Drosophila melanogaster: one gene and its partner. The protein of the gene in region 2 interacts with the protein of the main gene of each other region in a pairwise test. Each region holds a gene or a part of one and is shown on either strand. Other genes may lie near its edges.

Region 1 (3,756 bases), 7.7 Mb from region 2:
CAAAATATGCCCTTCACCTCAGAAGTTCTTAGACTTTAAATCTATATTATTTTTGATCAATTGGCACCATGCGAAAAATTCTTGTTTTGCATTGCCTTAACGTTATTATTATTTCAAAATAGATTAGAAATAGCCAAATCTATGTACATATTATCACAAAAATAAATTTTTATTTTTATTTTTAGAGTATTCATCTTGCGGCGTGTGAAAAATTAATAAGGCAATGATTGTTGAGTGCTTGTGTCCGCACTTCGTGCCTCAAGATATGAACAAAGCAAAGACACTAGAATAATTCTAGTTTCTTTGATATTACTTTTGCAATAAACAGTTATCATATTTAATTATTTAGTATATTTATTAAATCATTTGACTTAATATGATGTAACATTAACATTAAAAGTGTTTCAAAAAAAATATTTCGCTTTTAAAAAATTGTCAGATGAGAGACAAATTAGAATTAAACATAAATATAAATGTGTAAACGGTAGCTAATTCGAGCGGCGATTTTAACAAACAAATTTAAAAAGCTTTAAAATTATAATAGTCAGGGCGCGAATTTTTAAAAATTTTTTTATTTTATCATATTGCTAGGAAATTGGCAAAAACTACCCTAATATGTACCATGTAAATTCGTTTCTTCGATCAGAATTGATTTCGGCCCGAAAATCGTCTTCTAGCACAACACGCACACTTATACGCGTTCTCGTCTCTTGTTTTTACTCACACAAGCAAGCAAATTATATTTTTAGATTTCTTACGCTCTAAGCGGGAGTGAGCGGAAAGAGAGTAATTTTGGCCGTCACCAAAAAAGTGGCTGCATAGTGCCAAACCAATGTATGGCCGTTACGCATCTTGTTATTCTAGTGTCTTTGCTTTCTACCTCTTATAGTACATACATGCCTATGAATCTAGTATACCATTGCACTATGGGTAAAAAACCGGAAATTTTTGTATTAATGTAATATTTTTGTGATTGATATTTTAATGCTCCTTTCATTTTTTGATTTCTAAGTAACAAGATAGCATAAAAAAAATGTTTTAAACCTTTTTACGAGTTATCGTTTATTTTTGGCGCACTTTCAAAGTCAGCTGATTCAGAGGTGCTTTGAATTGCGAAAATGGTCGGAAAAAGTTGAACAAATGTGCAGCGTAAACATTGTCTTCATAGCAAATTTGGAGTTTATTTTTAATAATGGAAAAATGGAGCAACAACAAACGCGATGCAGACGCTATTAACAGTTATATTGTGGAAAATATACAAGAGAACTTTGAGACTAAAGAGCAAAAGATTACCAAATAAGCAGGCTGCAGAATAAGGGCATTCAACTCCACTTCTCGTACATGCTGCTTCATTTTCCGGAAAACAACGAAGCAGGCAGAAACGGCCTTTATATTGAAAAAAAGGGAATTGAAAACATACATAATATAAAAAAGAAAATTGAGACAAATCATTCTATTAAAATAAGTGCTGAAAACGCTTTAGCTTTCCCAATTGAACATGGATTTACAAAGTAGCAATATAATAATATAAAACCGCTCAATAAGCATAAAGGATGCGATATTTTCCATCCTTATTCAAAAGTAGCAGAAGCAAGGATGGATAACAAATATAAAAAAATTTTGACTTTTATTTCATAAAATTGGTTTTTGTATCTTGTGTCTTCACTTCGCTCCCACGCCAATCCTTCGCCCACCATCCATCTCCCTTGAAACCCGCTTTCATATGTATATAAATACATTTTTCACTTTATATTCAAGGATTTTTTTGGTGGGCGGAGATGAAGGCGTGGTCAGATCAAAAAATAAACAAAATCCGAAATTCTATTTAAATCTTAATTATAAACATAAAAAAAATCAAGTCGCTATCTTTATAATTGTAATTAATACCAAAATTCCCGGCTTTTTACCCATAGTGCATTGTACTCTACAACTAGTGGATATAAAGCTAAGAAGGTAAAATCCGTCCTCAGTAGATGGTGATTAATAGTTTTTTGTGATAGTTTTGAAACTACTTTTTTATATCGATATTTCTTAGGAAGTCTCAACCGCTCCGACGGATGTGAAAAGTACACTTACTATATAAGCCTAAAATGTGAAATTACTATTATAGTATATATTGATAATTAATATTTTAATGTGCCAAAACGTCGTGTATTTGCTGACGTTTGCTGTGGTAATCAATTCTGGTTCAGTAAACATATTCAATTCGAATTCTATGGCCGATTAGCTATGGACATCAATGAATATAATTTATACAGTAAGTTTCCTTCTCGTCAGTGACAAGCAAAGCAAGTTGAAAAAGTCTTGCCCTAATATCTATTATCAAATTCATCATATGTATGAATATGTGTAAAATGTGAAATGAGTGGCTGGCACCCTAATTTTTTCTGCTTTAGAATCAGCGAAATGGAATAAAAAATAAAATGTATATTAATGTATGTATTAAAAGAAATCGATTGAACAAAGGTTAAGAGAAAAACATAAAAGGGAAGTACGACATACGATATTTGAATAATAAACAACAATATATAAAATTAAAAGATTTCTTAATAATTAAAAATTCGCGTCCTTATCATTACTGTCTATCAATAAATCTTATAATTTGCTGACGCATTGCCATACGTAAAGTGATAGCTTATTTCGTGCAGTTTAAACAGGACAACCTTACAAAAACTTTGTCCCTTTCTTTGATAAGTTGATAATACCATATGTATCTTGCAACAGTGTAATTTTTTTCGATTCCTGCGTAAGTTACTCTTGTATTCTCAAATTTTTGCTATCGGAATGTTTAGTAAACAGTTAACAGCTGTTTAAGCTGTTTTTCAGACAATAGAGCGGCCCATTCGACAGTTTTAATTATTCACTGCAATTAAGTTATTAAATTAAATAGGATTTTTTTCGAACAACACTTTTAGTCATCCTTTTTAATTTATTAATGAATTATTTTATATTTTATAAGTATTTTTATTGCCTGTTTCGTTTCACCAACAGCCTTTGCGATAAATTTTGTCGACGTATGTATAATAAACAATTATAATAATACAACGTCGCCGCAGGAGTTTTGAAAGTATTTCATATTTTTTTAGTCTTGTAAGTTTACAATGGTTTGATATTTTAAATTTTTTCATTTAATTTTTTCCTGACAAAGTTAGCTAATTACAATAACAATGATATAAATAACAATTAAATAAAAATGATATAAGTAACATTTAACTACATAACAATTATGAGATCATCATCTCCTGGCTCTCGTCAAGGGTGACCTGTGGAGCCTTCTGGGTGGGCGACCTTTGTTTAGTGCCTTGGCTAGGATATTTCTATACCGCTCTAACGTGTCGTGGTACCGGCTAGAGTGCATGTTTATTGTCTCGAAGACAGTGGCTAGTTTGAGCTCTTTGTTGTTGTGTTCCTTACGAACCAATCGCAGCCGGTAATCATCCTGGCGATTCTGCTTTGGGGAGCCTGAATACGACGGATTTGGCTGTCGCAGGCCAAGCCCCAGATTTGATAGCTGTACCTCCATATTGGAGCTATAATTTGCTTGTAAATTATCACCTTGTTGGATAGTGACAATTTACTTCGCGAATTTATAAGCCAAAAATGGTGCACGCATACGCATGCTTCGAGAAGGTGAGTCTCCTATCCAGGATTTTTTTTTTAAAATTAATTTATTTATCAAGGCATACGGGGAAATCTTGGAGCCCCTTTGTGTCCTTCTTTTCTATTAATTCAGCCCATTTGGGCGCGTCGGCTAAC
Region 2 (3,756 bases):
CCGTTGAATGCTCAGTAATTGCCCAGAGCTGATTCATTTCCATTACCTCTCTCTCTTTACACATCGTACTTGTCCCTTCTTATCATGGTTGTATGTACATATTTGCTCGAGATTGTTTCTTGGTTTACCGCATCTCTTCGTCACGGCGAAGCGTTTCATTTAGATTTTACAGTTCTTGGTAGACAGATTGCTGTAGCGAACGCGTTGGTAGCACCGTTTTAGATGACAAACTAAAACGAGATGTCTTATTTCGCAGATCCCAACCAGCAGTACAACTATGGCGGCGGTAATCCCCCGCAGGGAGGATATGGTGGATATCCACCTCAGGGCGGCTATCCACCTCAAGGACCGCCGCAAGGCTACCCACCCTATGCACAAGGAGGTGCTCAACCCTATCCACAGCCCTACGGACAGGGGCCTCCACCGGGAGGTTATGCTCCCCAGCCGGGATTTATCCAACCACCACCATCTGCTGGCGGCTACGGAGCCTACGATGATCCGGAGAGCCAGCCCAAGAACTTCTCGTTTGACGACCAAAGCATCCGTCGCGGATTCATACGTAAGGTGTACCTGATTCTAATGGTGAGCTTTAGATAATTCTGCATAGAAGGCATGTACAATAAGTTATCATTTCTGTGTCATTAGGGACAACTAATCGTCACTTTTGGAGCTGTTGCCCTGTTTGTATACCACGAGGGCACTAAAACCTTTGCCAGGAATAACATGTGGCTCTTTTGGGTTGCCCTCGGCGTAATGTTAGTAACCATGCTGTCTATGGCTTGCTGCGAAAGTGTGCGCCGCCAAACACCGACGAACTTCATATTCTTGGGTCTGTTTACAGCAGCTCAGTCGTTCTTAATGGGAGTTTCCGCAACCAAATATGCTCCGAAAGAGGTGAGTACTTCGATTTAATTACGATATGTAGTAAAGTGATACGATATCTGTTTTCCAGGTTCTCATGGCGGTGGGCATAACAGCAGCGGTTTGCTTGGCCCTAACGATCTTCGCCTTGCAGACAAAGTACGACTTTACTATGATGGGCGGTATTTTGATCGCCTGCATGGTGGTGTTCCTGATCTTCGGCATCGTGGCCATCTTTGTAAAGGGAAAGATCATAACACTGGTGTACGCCTCGATTGGAGCGCTGCTCTTCTCCGTTTATCTCATCTACGACACACAGTTAATGATGGGCGGCGAGCACAAATACTCTATCAGTCCCGAGGAGTACATCTTTGCGGCACTAAACCTCTACCTGGACATCATCAATATCTTCATGTACATTCTGACTATAATCGGCGCATCGCGCGACTAAGTTCCGCTCTATTTCCAAATATTGTTTGCAGCTTAATCGGGTTATTCAGTAACCTGGAATACACGAATATTGTTGTCGCGTAATCTCATCGGTGTGCTCCCCCAGTGGAGGTAATCTTCAACTAACGAATTACTCAAATACTTACAAATCTATCTACTTCGTGTTGTGTTTGCCCATTTTCCCCGTTTCCTTCTAGTTCTAAATGTCAACTAAGGCTATATGAACTACTTACTTTTTGTTATGTATGTTTTATTGTTGCTTAAGTTGAGGCGCAAACCAAGTGGATATTTCCAAATTTAAAAATAAAAAAATTATATATATGTATGTATACCAAATGATATGCCATTCAGATAAACGAAACAACAATAAATAGTCACGTATAAACATATTTATGTAAAAATATACATATAAGCAAGTTGGCTTGCAGTTGTTAACACATAAAACTTAACCGTGTGTAATAACCAAGGAATCCCGATTTTCAACTATGAATCAAGTACCGAACATTGTAATCCCTGCAGCGACACTGAGTTTAAAGTCAACAATAAAGCGCATCTATTTATTAAAGCCACAGACCCCTGCATTGTAGGGCTTCCGTCAGTGGTTCATCCAGTTCAACCAGCCAGCCACCACCAGATGCAACTTTAGTCTGCGACTTCAGAGCGACGCCGTTGGTTGGATTACTTCTACACTCCAGACCATTATCGTCTGCATTTTTGCTTTATCATTGCTTAAGTTAACTTTGTTATCTGCACCACCACAGAAAGAAGTCCGGGTGTTTTAATTTCGGGTTGGCCCCATATCATGCGTTTGACCCGGCCACCTGTTCAGTAGTTCGTGTGAATTCCAGCAGGGCGTAGCTATAAAATGTATCACTACCAGCAAGGTAAGTACCGCCCGGATTGGGCTGAAACCAAACCAAATTGGCTACGGAAAGGTGCTTTAGATTAGATAATCGATTTGGCTATTGTATAAAGCTTATTGACTGCATCGTTTTCTCTCAGTAAGAGCCAACAAAATATATCTCTCTCGGCGCATTTTCATCTGATAAGACAGCTGAAAAGGTTTCGTTATGAGCCCAAAAACAGTGATTCACCCAATCGAAGGGAGAGTGAACAACCATTTTGAAATTGTATGGTGGCAATATCAGTTACTCACCGACATCAATACACAAATCTTATCTAGAGTAGAAGTGTGGGGCTGTGATAAGAGCCGGTAACCGGCTAATCTCAACTCATACGTCCATATGGGAACACCTAGAAAGGGCGATTCGGTTCCATTAAGCTGAAACACTAGCACGCTGCCGGCAGTCGGGCAAAGAGAGCACCGTAACTTAAGTGACTAAAGTTTAGTCATAGCAATTTAGCCATGAGCAGCGACAATCATTTTCAGTACGGTTAGTCATTGCATTAACTTTCCTGCTTCCTTGAATTGTCTTCCAACCACACAGGCGATGAAACTGGCGCATACACAGATGCGGAAGCGGACAAGAGCTTCGCCTTCGATGACCAGAGCATCCGGAAGGGATTTATTCGAAAGGTCTACTTGATATTGATGGTAAGTGCTGATATTTGAACTGAAAAAGAAAATATCAATTTAAATTGTCCAAAAATAAAGGTATTTGCTTCACTACTTGTCTGCTTTGGGTCACTTTAAAACTTCAAGATTTATTGACTTCCTGCAATCTAATTTTGATATCGCGCTCTATTTCTAGTGCCAATTGCTGATCACTTTCGGTTTTGTTAGCGTATTTACGTTCTCGAAAGCTTCGCAGGAATGGGTGCAAAAAAATCCGGCACTGTTTTGGATAGCCTTGGTAAGTTTTTACGACTTTTATGCTAAATATTGAATACAAATATATCCAATTTTTAAACTCAGGCCGTTCTTATCGTGACCATGATCTGTATGGCCTGCTGCGAAAGTGTACGCCGTAAGACGCCTCTTAACTTCATCTTTCTTTTCCTGTTCACCGTGGCGGAGTCGTTCCTTCTGGGTATGGTCGCCGGACAGTTTGAGGCTGATGAGGTCCTGATGGCAGTGGGAATTACGGCCGCGGTGGCCCTGGGACTCACCCTGTTTGCCCTGCAGACCAAATACGATTTTACGATGTGCGGAGGAGTGTTGGTGGCCTGTCTGGTGGTCTTCATCATTTTTGGTATAATCGCTATCTTCATACCGGGCAAGGTGATCGGACTGGTCTATGCCTCCTTGGGAGCATTGCTCTTCTCCGTTTACTTGGTGTACGATACCCAGTTGATGCTGGGTGGTAATCATAAGTACTCCATCAGTCCTGAGGAATACATCTTCGCCGCTCTAAACCTCTACCTGGACATTATTAACATCTTCATGTACATACTGACCATTATCGGATTGTCTCGCAATTAGACTGGTCATTATGATCCATAGCTTCTATTCCAGTTTTAGAAATGTAACTTAATTTTATGTGC

What was found. Proteins that work in one complex are often made in the same cells at the same time.
Region 1: the proteins of Lfg (region 2) and Atf6 interact in a two-hybrid assay, tested with the Drosophila melanogaster proteins (one large-scale study listed by BioGRID).

What each region holds. Positions count from the first base shown.
Region 1 is NT_033778.4:5,142,602-5,146,357, forward strand, and holds the start of Atf6 (Atf6), read left to right. Parts: upstream 1-2,131; 5' UTR 2,132-2,229; coding exon 2,230-2,257; intron 2,258-3,756.
Region 2 is NT_033778.4:12,875,211-12,878,966, reverse strand, and holds the start of Lfg (lifeguard), read left to right. Parts: upstream 1-2,000; 5' UTR 2,001-2,176; coding exon 2,177-2,195; exon of another isoform or gene 2,196-2,677; coding exon of another isoform or gene 2,678-2,705; exon of another isoform or gene 2,706-2,759; coding exon 2,760-2,866; exon of another isoform or gene 2,867-2,885; intron 2,886-2,942; exon of another isoform or gene 2,943-3,023; coding exon 3,024-3,125; exon of another isoform or gene 3,126-3,187; coding exon 3,188-3,694; 3' UTR 3,695-3,756. Other genes in the region: Nmda1 (N-methyl-D-aspartate receptor-associated protein), read left to right, coding at 257-582, 646-894, 953-1,312.